2 linked regions of the Notamacropus eugenii genome follow. The protein of the gene in region 2 interacts with the protein of the main gene of each other region in a biochemical or structural test. Links are inferred from orthologs where the notes say so. Each region holds a gene or a part of one and is shown on either strand. Other genes may lie near its edges.

What was found. The genes of interacting proteins can lie anywhere in the genome.
Region 1: the proteins of HSP90AA1 (region 2) and TERT form a complex in vitro, tested with the Homo sapiens proteins (2 studies listed by BioGRID). The link is inferred for Notamacropus eugenii from reciprocal best matches to the Homo sapiens genes HSP90AA1 and TERT.

The regions. Positions count from the first base shown.
Region 1 is NC_092875.1:345,754,038-345,760,945, forward strand, and holds the start of TERT (telomerase reverse transcriptase), read right to left. Parts: upstream 3,074-6,908; 5' UTR 2,850-3,073; coding exon 2,556-2,849; intron 425-2,555; coding exon 1-424. UniProt on the Homo sapiens protein: Telomerase is a ribonucleoprotein enzyme essential for the replication of chromosome termini in most eukaryotes. Active in progenitor and cancer cells. Inactive, or very low activity, in normal somatic cells.
Region 2 is NC_092872.1:351,894,427-351,902,052, reverse strand, and holds the start of HSP90AA1 (heat shock protein HSP 90-alpha), read right to left. Parts: upstream 3,015-7,626; 5' UTR 2,505-3,014; intron 1,352-2,504; coding exon 1,190-1,351; intron 1,093-1,189; coding exon 726-1,092; intron 64-725; coding exon 1-63. UniProt on the Homo sapiens protein: Molecular chaperone that promotes the maturation, structural maintenance and proper regulation of specific target proteins involved for instance in cell cycle control and signal transduction.

The sequences.
Region 1 (6,908 bases), on a different chromosome or scaffold from region 2:
TTTTCTGGAAGGAAATCTTCTTTCTGACATTGTCAAGTGAGACATTTGGTTCCTCCTTCGGATATTTTTTTCGCAAGAACCCAGATGGAGAGACAGAATCTTTTAAATTGAGTTCATAGATAGGTAGCCCAGAGATCTGGTAAGAGCAGGTTGGGGGTACCATCATGAAAATGGAACAGTGCTCTAACATATACATCATCACATCATCTCCTATCCTGCTTAAAAGTATCTCCCACAAGGCACTGACACTAATTGTTTCTGTTACTGTGTTAGGGTGATAGTTGTAGACGTTTGTGGTAAACTTAACTGGCAATGGCATTCTATTTTCCTCTAAAAGGGTGTATCCAAAAGCCAGAATATTCTTTTTTTTCTTTTCACAAATCCTCTGGACAATTCTAGCAACTACTTCCTTCTGGGAAGACAGCTAAAGAAAGAAAAAAATTCAAAATTGCTGATGGCAGTTTTTTCCAACTTTCTAAATAATATTCATAAGGTGATCCTGGGACCAAAATTCATCTCAATGTTACTCAAAGCAGAGAGCCAATTCAAAACTACATTCAACAACATTTTAAAGTTTCTTCCATATGCAGGGCACCAGGCTAGAAGAAACTAGAACCATATCCCCTTGAAAGTAGATTAAAGAAAATATAAGTCAATCAACAACCATTTTAAAGGCACCAACCATGTGCCAATGCTGGGGATAGAAAGGCAAAATATAAAGCCTGCTTTCAAGGGTCTCACATTCTAATGGAGAGACATAATCCTTTCCCTTGTATTCTACAGGGAGTAAGACAACCTATACATTTAAGTATATCGATAAATAGAAAGCAATTAAACAAAAGGTAGTTTGGGAATGAGTTCACAAATTAGCAGCTGGGAGAAAGCAGAAAGATTTCCTGAACAGGATGCTGCTCAAGGCACATTGCGAAAAAAATAAGGGATGGTACAAGACAAAGGTAAGGAAGGAGTGCATTCCAGACATGAAAGATAATGGCCAATTCAAAGTCCCAGAGAAGGAAAATGGAATGTTTGTGTAAACAATAGAGAAAAGTCTAGTTAAGCTTCACCCTAAAGTCAGGCAAATGGAGTAATGCATAATGAGGATGGGGCCAGGTTGTGAAAGGCCTTAAAAAGCTCCATAAAAGAGTTTACATGTTCTAGAATGGAAGGTGGAAGTACCAGAGAGCCCGTAGAGTTTACTGAATAGGAGAGTGCCAAGATCAGATCTGAGCTTATAAAAAAATCACTTTTGTGGTGACTGTGTGGAAAACGCATGCAAAGGGAAAGAAACATGAGGGAGGGAGATAAAAGATAAGGCTATCATAATGGTTCAGGGAGGAAGTGATAACTTTGTAAATAGAAATGGAAGGAGGTTGTAAAGGTAGAAATGGTGGGACCTAGAAAGTGATTGGATATGTGGTGTGGTGCTAAGGTTATAAACCTGACATGCTAGAAGAATAGTAGTATCCTCAACAGAAATAGGAGTGGGTTTTGGGGAAGAGGTAATGAGTTCTGTTTTGGATATGAGCTTGAGATGTCTCTGGGACGTCCAATCTGAAACATCCAATAGGCAAGGAGCGATGGAATTCAACAGAAACGCTGGGACTTGAATATTTCGTTTTACTAGATGATGGAGTCACCCAATGAGAGAAGAGGGCCCATAATATGGCTCTGGAAGACACCCACACAGGGGGCGTGCCCAGGATGAAGAACCAGCAAAGCATCCTGAGAAGGAATGGTGGTTAGGTTAAGAGGAAAACCAGGACAGAGTGTTTTTTACAAAAATTGGGGACGGGAGGATAGTCAACAGTGTCCAATGACACAGGTCAAAAAAGATGAGTCAAGAAAGCCCCCAGATTTGGTCATTAAGAGATCACTGGTAACTTTAGAGAAAGCAATTTCAGTCCCTGTGATGGGATCCAAGGCCATACTACAAAGGTCGAGAAGAGAATGAGAAAAGACTGTAGAAGGATTTTTCCAAGAGTCTAGCTGAGAACGGGAGAGGAGATATAGAGCAATTAAATGCTAGAGGAGATAATAAGGTTCAGAGAGTTCTTTAAGAATTGGGGAACCTTGGGCACATTTGAAAGCAACAGGGAAGGAATCAACAGATAGGGAGAGATTGAAGGTTAAGGAATGGGGGGGAGGGGGTGGAAGGTGCAATCTATAAGAGAAAAACCCGGGGAATGGAATCTAAGAGCACAGGTAGAACGGCTGGCTTTGGCAGGAAGGGCTCATCTCATCACAGAGAGAGGTGGAAAGTAAGAGGTGACTTCCGCAGGGAAGGTATGTGGAGCTTAAGGACAGCCTGAAGATGCTTCAGTGGGGAGTGGAACAGGAAATTACCTATGGAGAAATGAAAGGTAGAGTCCGAGCAGCCCAAGGTGTTAAATGACTTGCTTCCCTGAAACAATTGGAGTATTTAATCCAAATACTCTCTTGGTCGAGTGGGTAGAAAGGAGCAGGCCCCCCGCCAACCGCCAGCCACTGAGGAAGCCCCGAGTTTCGGTCCGATACTCCCACCCCAGGGCTCCTGGCAAGGATGCATGCATTACCTGCCGGAAGGTGAGAGGCCTGGGGAGGGGCCGGGCACCCCACGGCACACACACCACACAGCCGGACACAAAAACCTGGAAGACCTCGGGATCCCCGCTGCGCAGGAGCCGCACGGCTACCTGCTGGTCCGGCCGGTCCCCCGGAGCCCGCGCGGTCCGCGCCTCGTCCTCGAGGCGCTGCACGAACTCCGCCAGCCCCAGCACATCCCGGTAGCTGTCCCGCAGCACCTCGCGCACCGGGCGGAAGGCCGCCGAGGCCAGCAAGGAGCGCGGGGCCGGGGGCCGGGAAGCCATGGTGCGCGAGGGCCCGGGAGGGTGGGCGCCGCCGCTCCTCCCGCTGCTGCACCTGCCTGCGCTGCAGCTGCCACCCAGAGAGCAGGCTAGGAGCCCGCCGCGGAGGCAGACCAAGGGGCGGCTGGGAGCGGCGAGGCCGGGCGAGGAGGGTAACCCGGGGGAGCCCGAGCTGGGCTGCAGCCCGCAGCGGGGCGGGGCGGGGAGAAGAGGCAGGCGGAAGAGGAAAAGGGGAGGGGGCTTTGGGGCGTCTGGGCTCTTAAAGGGACAACAGCGCCTGGGAAAAGACTAGAAGGTGTCAGGAAGGATTCTGGAGCCCAATTGTTAATTTTCATTTACACTTTCTGGGAGAAGCCATATTTGATAATTCAACATTGTTAATTCAATGTTGGGGGAGGGGGGAGTCCTTAAGTACCTACTAAGTACCTATCTATTAAGCACCTACTATGTGCCACTCATTTTGTGCTAAGCACTGGGATAAAATCGAAGAATCTCAATCTTCAAAGGAGCCACCAAGCTCCACCTAGCCCATCCCAAACCTGAAAAAAGTTCCCTCTGCAACATTCTCTTTCCTACTGTGACTTTGTAACAGGCGTAAATGTTGCCTGTTACAGCTGATATTCCCTCTATCTTGATTCTTTACTATCTTTGTAAAACCTGCGCTCAGGAAGGACCAGCACCTCGGTGTGAGGGCTGACGGATGACTTTTCTGGGCTGCTCCTTCACGTTTGATGTCCACCTTCACCAACTCTCACCTGCATCTCCAAGAAGCTGTAGCATGCTCAGCAGCCACATCAGCAGATGGGCTAAACCAAGTTGAGGATAAGTGACAGGCCTCAAGCTGGTTGGTGAGTTGGGAGGGGCGGGTGTCTACCCCATGCACATGAAGACTTCCCAGGGCTGAAGGGGCCCATGAGAACAATTTGGTCCAAGGGCCATGAAGATAGCTGAACCAGGTGCTTAGATTGCTCAAGTATCAAAGAATCAAGATTATCCACTGCATCCATCTCCAGTCATCTTAACTTTCCTCTTGCCACTGGACTTTGATGACTGGAAGAGACAGCGAGGCTGTTGTCTTTGCAACCTGTCTCACTTAAATTCAGTTCACACCGGGAGTCAAAACAGCACCCCATGATGTCATTGGTCTTCTTCTAAGGACAAACAACTGTTCAGACCCAGATAGACACACCCATTCTCTTTGCTCCTATCTATTCCACCAGCCCAGCTTATGTGGTCAGTGTGGAAAACTAGTCTCTCTTTCCAGGATAAGAAGCTTTGTTTATAATGAAATAACTAATGGAATGAATTTAAACATTTATTGAGCACTAACTGGTAGCAGAACACTATACTAAGTACCTAAAAAATTGAAAAACTTATTTATCCCTTTTGTTGAGGGAATATACCATGCACTGGGGAGAAACAATGTATGCATATGAAATGATATGAATACCAAGATATGATGCATTTCTTGAACTTTCAAAATGAAATAAGTATTCTGAAATTCTCCATGTTTTCCTAGGGGAAAATTTGAATAAGAATTCTAGACATTTGATATGGAAAGTACGTCAGAAGTGTTCTAGCCCAGCCTACAGTTGGTTATGAATTCCCAAGATAATTTCCACATCACTTGAATGCCATTATTGATTTTGGTTATGTTACCATCTACTCTGCTACACCATCCCTGGCACAGCACCCTTGTAACCAGATTTCTAAAGACTGTGTCTTGAGTGGTTAATCCCCTCTGCTTTGGAGCTCCATCCTGAGCTCAGCTCTTCTGACAGGTATATGAAGCACAAATTCACCTATCCTACTGTCTCTAGCCAGCCCCTAGAATGAGACTGCTTGGGGCAGGGATAGCTTTATGGCCAATCTCAGCAGGAAGTAGCTATGAAAGAAGAGACTTTTGCCCCTTACCCCAAGATTTTGGGCCGCATTTGCTGAGAGGGAATGAAGGGGGTGCTTATGCTCAAACTAGAGTCCATGAACCCATTATCATAGCCTCATTCACTATTGCTTACTGTTTTCCAATTTGCATTCCCGGGGTCATCATTCTGGCTAGAGGTACACCCTCTTCAATCTGAGCTGGGACCCGGCCAACTCCCCATTCTCCCTACAGGTGTGATGAACCTGGATACAATGTTTCAGAATGATCTGCAGGGGCAGCTCCTACCTCCTTGCTCAGTCTAAAACCAATCTTCTATCTACGATACATTTTATATAGTTCATTAGTTGGAATGCCATCTGTTCTTCCAAAATCTACTCCTGCTCTCAACAGAGCAACAAAACTCTTTCCTTATCAATCCTCTCTGACCTTGAATCCACTGGCTATTCATTCCTCTGTCTCCAGAAAACCTATCTTTTTCACTAATTCTCACCATCCAAAGTACCAATGATTCTCTCATCTTTTGGGTGAACCAACTCAAAACATCTGTGACGTCCTGCTGAGAAAAATCCTTAGTTACCTCCTACCTACCTTTGGGGAGGTAATTGTGGAGGAACCCTGATTCCCCTGCTTCCTTCTTAATACTGGCCCAACTTCAGCCACCTCACTTGTTTCATTCTCCTTCCACACATCCTCCTGGCCTGTGTTTAAGCCCGAATCAAATCCAGCCTGCACAAGGGCTGCCTTCACTTTCCTATTGTTAACTTTTCGCCTCCTGTGAGACAAACCAACAACAACCTTCTCTTCTACCACTGGAAACTCTCCAGCTTCCTCTCCCAAGGGCAGCCCGAACACTGCTGGACAAAAATTCTCTCCAGCCAATTCCCTTTCCATCTGAGCCTTCTCCTCCAGCAGCCCATCTCACAGCATTTGCATACTGTGAGAGACAGCGAAAGTTAAGTTTCCACAACAAGTTATTGTTAATTGATGAAGTCATTGAGAATAAGATAATAAGAAGACCATCGGACAGTGGCCTTCAGAAAATTACAAAGTTTTTGATAAAGGAACCAAATCTACAGCTAGCTGGAACTAGCCAAGAAAAATGACCTAGAGTTACCTAGAGAAGGCTTTTCTTTACTGCATTTGCTTAATGAACTTCATGCATATGCTTAAGCAGACACACCCTGCATAAAATTATCCCTCCATTTTCTGATCATGGGTCCCATGTTAGAGCATGTTTGGGAGGGGGAATCATACTAAAGGGGGTTACATAATGGACATGCAGAGAAGAGGTTGACCTAAGGGAGGATGGACCCATCCATCTCCTGGTGGGAGTATTTGTCTTGAACTAATGGTATATAGTTCATTTCACTTCTGTATTCAGTGCTCTCTCCTCCTGAAAAGAGGGTGGGGGCCCACTTTGGCCAAAATGATCAATTCCTCTGAACTCTGCAGCAATACATTTTACTTGATACCTTAGTGTCAAGAGTGTCTCTAATACATACAATTCGAGGCAAAAATGGTTTTTTCTTTTCTGAGTCTCCCTGGCCCTCACTACACCCTAGCCCTCACTACACCCTAGCACATAAGGTTCCAGCCATCTTCTGGAGTCCTTCATCCAGAGCTTAGCAAAGCCCTGCCTCTCCTACATAACCCTGCCATTTCTTTCCCTGGTGCCTTTGTTATTCCCTGGAAATATATTTCCAACTCTCTGGGTTCTCCTTTCTGTAGCCTCAGTTCCCAGTTTTCACAAAGTCCTGTGCCCTTAGCACATTCTCTTTCTGGGGCAGAACAAAAATCCTCCCACCCTGGGATGTCCATTTGTTCCTCTGACTCCTCTGCCTTTTTGCCTCCAAATTGAGGTCAGATATTTCATTATCCCATCCCCATGACCATTTGTAGTGCAAATGTAATATTCACAGCACCCAGGGCAGCCATGAATATCATAGTGCAATTCAGAATAGCAAAATACCACAGACTATCTAGGTGGAAAGCAGAAACAAAACATTTATTCAGACCCAAATCCATCACAGCAATGAAAATTTATACACAATAACAATGTAGAGGACAACACCATCCCCAAACCATCCCCCTGCTAGGCTTCCCACAAACCAGGTCCATTATACTCATCACAAGCAGGCTCTCAAACAAACTCACAATCACAAAATCACTCATGCTAC
Region 2 (7,626 bases):
AGTACTCAGTTTGGTCCTCTTTCAAATGCAAAATTACCTTTGTTCCACGACCCATAGGTTCACCTAGAAGAGGAAAGGGAAAAAGTATATGTGGGAGACTCCTCTGATTTGTAATTTCATCTGAAATCTCTAACCTCAAACATAAATGGGAACTAAGAAACCAATTTAATAGAGAATACTAATGATTTTTTGAAAATCCTTTCCATACCTCTGAAACAATACCTCATAGTTCTATTCAACCAAGAAATTCATTCAACGTGATGCTCAGAATGCTTATTTATTGTAATTTTATCTTTGAAGATTAACTACAAATTTTCTAACAAATGTTTCCTTCTCATTTTATGTTTAAAATGACAAGCAGTAGTGCTGAACTTACAATAAAGAACTATACAGATCAAGGTAGTTCTTAAAGAATAATTATACTAATTTTGTTGAGCCTATATCCTATTCTTTCATGTTATAAAACTACCCTGGGTTTTATTTCTCAGGCTACCATTCATAGGAACTTGTGTATCTAGAACCAGAAGCAAATTCAAAAGCTACCTAGCTCAACCAAGGCCCTCATTTCACAGCTGAGAATAATGTGTAGTTACTGTGCCCCTGGTCAGTTTCAAACGGGGCTTTCCACTCCCTCCCTCTTCCACTGTACCAAAATACTTTCCCTCTCCCTCTCTGCATAGAAAATGCTTTAATTGTACAAAAGCGAGGTCTCACTATGCACATACCTACATCAGTCCTAACGGTGAACGACCCTCCTGCTGAAGACTCCCAGGCATACTGTTCATCATCGTTATGTTTGGTGATGACCGTCACCTTCTCAGCCACCAGATAGGCAGAATAAAAACCAACACCAAACTGACCAATCATGGAGATATCTGCACCAGCCTGTAATGCTTCCATAAAAGCTTTGGTTCCGGACTTTGCTATTGTACCAAGATTGTTGATTAAATCAGCTTTGGTCATTCCAATACCAGTATCTACAATGGTTAGGGTGCGATCATCTTTGTTTGGAATGATGCTGATGTTCAGCTCTTTCCCAGAGTCTAGTTTACTTGGATCTGTCAGACTCTCATACCTGATTTTGTCCAGGGCCTACACCAAGAAAAACACGTTTAAAAATTTTAATCATGAATTAAAACAGCTATACTGGAATTAAATTCAATTTCAGTAACACAAAGAAAAAACTTACATCAGATGAATTTGAAATCAGCTCTCTCAGAAAGATCTCTTTATTAGAGTAGAATGTATTAATGATTAAAGACATCAACTGAGCAATTTCTGCCTGAAAGGCAAAAGTCTCCACTTCCTCCTCCTCCATGGGTTGGTCCTGGGTCTGCGTTTCCTCAGGCATCTATGGAACATTGTTATCAGTTAGTCAAGCAATATCAATTAAAGATTTTTAAAATTTCAACCCGTTTTTACGTGAGGGTTCCTAACAGATTTAATGGATCTAAAATTAGGGCTACGGTAGAAAAAAAATGAGACTAATTCACTTGGAATCACGTCATTATGTGAGTTAATTCATGCTTCAAGGGGAACACTTTAAAAACCGGGGCCACCGACTGATTCAATTGCTTCTCATCCTTTAATTATTGAAGAGACTACCACCACCTCCGTAGCCGGATTAACGCCACCAGGCTCAGCTCATTAAGAGGATAAGCCGTCCTCTACAAAGGCAGAGGACTGAGGCACAAAGCTGAACTCTGAAACGATGCTCAAAAATTCACTCCTATTCAATCCCAACACGAGTAACGTTTAAAGCATTGGTAATTAGACGCTGGGGATAGCGAGGAAAAGGTAAAAACTAAGTTTCCCATTTCACAGAGCTTACAACATACGGGGCTTAGAATCGAAAAAGAAAACGTTTAAAAAAAAATCGACGAAAGAGGCCCACAGCACGCCTCCTACGAAGCTCTTCTTAGCCTCGCCAAGCCCCTCTCCTTACGCATCGCCCAAGGAGATCGGTGGGCAAAACGGGCAGTGCACAAAGTCTCAAATCCCCCACTCGCTTACGAAGATTTGAGTTTGGGGGTACCCCCAGCCCCCCCCACCCTCGGGCTCCGACGCAGGTGCCCCGCCCGCCGGGCAGAGCAGCCCCGGGGGCAGGCGGGGGCGCCGGCGCGCCACGGGCTCCTCACCCCCCCACGCCAGGCACCCTCCTCGGAATGGGGGGGGCCGAACCCCCATCATTATTTCCCCTCTCCCAGTCCCGGGTTTTTTAGGGGCGCTCGCCTCGTCCACTTCTCGGGAAGGGTGGGTAAAAGCGGCGGGGGAACGAAAATTGGGGGGGCGCCTCAAGACCTGGCCCCAGGGCCCTTCGGGCAAGGAGGGAGCCAGGGAGGAGCCTCCCCCCCACCCTCGGGGGCGCCGAAGCCGGGGCAGCTTCCCGCCTCCTCCCGGTCCCCCGAGCCGCGGCTGCGGGAAGGGCAGGTGAGCCCACGCCCAGGTCCACGCTGCGGGAGCCGCGGCCCGCCGGGGTGGGGGGGGGGGGGGGGTAACCTTACCTTGGCAGAGAGAGCAGGAGCCCCAAGGCTTCAGCCGGCAGCGAGACGGGAGAGCAGCAAACTGGCGCGCGGCCGCCCCCGCCCGCCCCTTATATAGAGTCGGGCACTCCCCGCCTCAGCAGCGCCTTTTCCAGAAGCCTCCGGAACCTTCCGGAAGAGGGTTCTCGAGCCCTCCCCAACCGCCGCGGCCCTCGCGCGTGCGCACAGGCTCGCGGCCCCCGCCCCGCGGCGAGGCTCCTCCTCCCGCCCCCGCCCAGGCCCTGCTTTCTTTCTCTCTGCTCCTCTCTCTCTACCCCTCCCGCTTCCTTTCCCTCTTCGCTCTCCTCCCCCACTGCGGGCTACGGAGGAGGCGGTGGAGAAGGGAAGCTGGGCTGGGGAGGGGGGTGCGGGTTTAGCGTGCTTCCATCTCCCCTCTCCTCCCCCCCCACTCCTCTGCGGCCCACTCACCCAACCCCCAACCGATTGCGCGCGGACACAGCTGCCAAGCGCGGGGGGCGGGGGGAGGGGGCCAGGGGCGCGTGCGCACAACGGCCTGCCCGGGCTGCTGCTGCCTGCGTCGGGGCCCGCGCCGGGCTCCTGCGCTGTTGCCATGGCCTCCCCGCTAATCGTCTTGCCTTCTTCGCCACCGACCGCCCCCACCCCGCCGTCGGAGCAGTCTTGCTCTTACGCAGCAAGATTTGTCCCGCTTCTGCTCACGCGTCTTTCTTTCATAGGGTTAGACCTGCGAGTGTTCCTCCCCTCCCCCCTTTTTACAGACGAGGAAACTGAGGCCCAGAAAAGGCACGCACTCGCCCCAAGCCCTCAGTCTGGGTGCTCCGCGGCATCGTCTTCTAACTACCTGACTAGGATCCCTCGGTCAGCTTCGGCCCTGCTCCTCCCCCTCCTCCCCCTCCTCCCCCTCCTCCCCCTCCTCCTTCTCCTCCTCCTCCTGCCCCCGGCCTTGTAAACACGGGCGTTGCACCAGGCCGAGTCTCCACACTCCGGGAGATCTGACCCACTCCCCCGTCTCCAGTTACCGCCTCCGTGCAGCGGCCCTCCCCAGCGGCCCCCAGACTCCACTGCCAGCGGATGAATGTTTCCACTTGGATGCCCAGCTGGCATCTAAGACAACACGTCTAAAAAATTTAATACAAAATCCTTCATTTTTAAAAAATATTATTTATTTTGACATTCTTTTGAGCTCCAGATTCTCTCCCTCCTCTACCCCCTGAATAAGCAAACAATATTGGTGAGAAATCACGCAAACCATTTCTGCATTAGCCATGCCCCACTAAAATAAGGGGAGAGGAGGGTGCTTCAGTTGGCACGGCGTCCGTCCGTTCTCTCCGGAGACGGGTGGCATGTTCTCACCGGGAGTCCTTCGGCATGGCCTCGGGGGTTGGATCGATGGGATCAGAACATCGCTGCCACGGTGCCATCCTCCCCCAGTGCTCACTCATCCCCCTCCTCATTTCCCGCAGCCCCGCAGTGCTCCATCACAATCCGGTGCCACCACTTGTTCAGCCTTTCCTGCCTGACGACCCCCCCCAAAAAGAGCTGCTGTGCAGACAGGGCTTTTTCCCTTCTCTGTGATCTTTTTGGGATACAGACCTAGCACCGGATCAGAGGATGCCCAGTTTTGTAGCTCCCTGGGCACAGCTCCAGATGGTTGGACCAGTTCAGCACTCCACCAGCAGCTCCTTCATGTGCCTATTTTCCCTCATCTCCCACATCACTTGTCCTTTCCGAGAGATAGGGAGTGCTACCCCAGAGTTGTTCTATTTCGCATTTCCCTGATCAATAGCGGTTCAGAACATTTTTTATAAGACTATAGATAGCTTTGATTTCTTCTTATGAAAATTGATCAATTGGGGGATGGCTCTTATTTTATACATTTGATTCCCTTCTCTATATGTCTGGGAAATGAGAGCTTTATCAAAGAAACTTGCTGTCATTTTTTTACATCCTTGTTTATAGTACCTTTTAGGAAAATGGAGTTTCCCAGATTTCTTCTCTTAATTAGGTCTATTTGGCTTTTGCTTTGAGATCATGATTGCTACCCCACCTCATTTATTTCGGCTAAAGCATAAGAGATTCCCTTCCAGCCCTTTATTTTAACTTTGTGTTGCCTTTACATTTCAAATCTCTCATAAACCGGACAAATGGTTGGATTCTGTTTTCTGATCCATTATGGGTTAGCTCATCCCATTCCCATTCACAGTTACAAGTGCTATGTATCTCTTCCATCGTGTTTTCTTCCATTTATCCTTATCTTTCTATCTTGTCCCTCCTCAAAAGTCTGTTTTGCCTCCCTTTTATCATCTCCCTCTCCTATATCTTTTATCCCCTTTTCCTCTTATTTCTCTATTGAATAAGTTACATTTATATACAACTGTATATATATTCTTCCTTCTTTGAACCAACTCTGACAAGAGAGGTTCAGCCATTGCACCCCCCTTCTCTCTCCCCTATAAAAGCTCTTACTTTTGCCTGTTTTATGTGAGAAATTTTTCTCTATTCTACTTTTCTCCTCCCCCTTCTCTCAGTACATCCCTCTTTCTCACCCCTCCTTTTTTTTTAAAAATTATCCTAGCATAAGACTCACAGCCGTGCCGTCTGTTCCAGCCTCTTTCCTCCCTGATATTCCCATACTTCCACATTAGGCTGTGGCCCAACCAGCATAGTTGCTGACATTATTTTCCACTGTCTCCTTCGCTACAGTCTCTAGGGAGGAGGTAACCTTTCTGCCTCCAAAGGCTAATTCCATACATGTACCCCTGATTCAGGAGAATGCTGAAGCCACTTGTTAAATTTTCAGTGAGGCAGTTAAACCTTAGAAATCAGCAAACATTGCACTCAGGCCTTGGCTTATTGTTTTGTTGATTATTTAGACTTAAGAAAGTGATGGAGAAAATTATAAAAAAGCAGATTAAAATTACAGCTTGTATTTTCAGAAAGCTTGGTTGTTAAACATTTGCTAGCACATCAGTAACTCCCTATCACTTTCAGGATGAAATATAAAATCCTGTCTGGCATTGAAAATACTTCATAATGTCCCCTGACCTTTCCAACCTCCTTACCTCTTACCCTTCCACCCCTTCTTCTCCTCCACTATGTACTCTGTAACACTGGCCTTCTTACTGTTCCTTGAACAAAACGTTCTATCCCTGGACTCTGGCCATTTTCACTGACTGTCCTCCTTGCCTGGAATGTCCTTCCTTCCTCACATCTGCCTCTTGTCTCCCTTGGCTTCCTTTAAGTCTCAGCTGAAATCCCAAAAGGATTCTATAGGCATCTTTCCCACTCCCTCTTAATTCTTTCCTCTCTTTAGTGTTGTTTTTAATTGTTCAGGTATGTCTAACTCTTCATGATCCCATGGACCCTACTTTCTGTGGGGTTTTCTTGGTAAAGATATTGGTGTGGTTTGTCTTTTCCTTGAGTGACTAGCCCTGGGTCACACAGCTAGTGATGCCTAAAGCCAAATTTGAAATCAGGTCTTCTGGACCCCAGACCCCTGCATTTCATCCACTGAGCCATCTAGCTGCTAGTTGATTATTCCTATTAATCCAGTATATACCTTGTTTGTAAGTAATTGTTTGTCTCTCCCATTAGACAAACTCATGTACCTCTAGGGTGGGATCGTCTTTTGCTTTTATGAATTTGCCTGTCTGAGTTTTCATGATTCTAGTCTTACTAGCTACATCTACCAGTCAGACTACTTCTCTTTGGTTGGATCTTCATTCAGGTCACACCCACTGACTATGGGTTTTCCCCCAGGGTCTGTCTTGGCCTCCTTTCTCTTTATAATCTCTCACTAGGTGATCTCTTCAGCTCTCATTAGTTCAATTACCATCCTTTTGCAAATGATTTCTAGATCTGTTTATCTGGCCCTAGTCTCTCCAGTCCCACATCCCCAACTGCTCATTGGACATTTTGAACTGGATGTCCCATAGGCATCTTAAGTTCAGTATATCCTAAGCAGAACTTATTATCACCCTATCTGCACCTTTCTTCTGAATTTATTGTATTTTTTAAGAGTCACCTAGGTTTGAAAACTCATTGCCATCTTTTTCCTACTCCACACATTCAACAAGTTGCCAAATTTTGTCATTTCATTCTCTACAATATCTTTCATTCCTTTTCTCCATTTGCATAACCACTACACTACTTTAGGACCTTTCAATTGTACCACTGCAGTATTAATTTAACTGATCTTCCTGCCTTGTCTCGCCCTTCAATCCATCCTCCCCACTACCCCCAAAATGATTTTCGCAAAGCAGAGATCAGATCAGATCACTTTTCTGTCCTAAACAAGCACTAGCAGCTCCCAGTTATCTCTAGAATAAAATATAAAGCCCTCTGTTTAGAATTTAAAGTTCTTTACAACTTGGCCCTTTCCAGTTTTATTACATTCCAGTCTGCTTCATGTTCTGTATTTTACCACATCATTGTTGCAGATTTTATGCCAAATATTTTTGCAAAAAAAGTGGGGTGTGACCATTATGTGAAGCTTTAAAAAATTTGTGCTGGTATTACTTAAAAATCATTTATTATTAAACTGTTTTTGGTGCAAGATTAAACCCATAATCAGAAAGAAATGCTTCACACATTAATATATCGTTGGCAGATGAACTATACAGTTTAGCTATCATGTGACTTACTCATGGCAGTTTTGCCTGACCAACCACTCCCCTTTCACGTAGGGCTCTTCATTGGGTTGAGTGACTATACCCTTAGTGCTACAGTGTTCTAAACAAACAGCAAAAATAGACTTTCTGAAATATACTGACAATGCACGTGCACTGAGAATTCTAGGCTTGTGGCTCCCAATGTGCAAGAGATAAATAAATATCCATATGCCACAGGTGAATACATTTCTGCTCTGTTTACCTTTTAAGCATCTTGACAAACAGAATTATACCATGTGATGATTACATGATGAAAGCTTATAAACCAGTTTTTGGACTGAAAACAAACGAAAAACCAACGATTATGGGGTAAAATAAGGTATTCTACTGTTTAGCCAAACTGGCCAACTTTCTTTTCCTTGGAAAAGAAAACTCTGTCTACTGTCACCATGCCTTTGTATTAACTATTCTCCATGCCTGGAATGCTGTTCCTTCCAAACTTCTGCCTCTTAGAA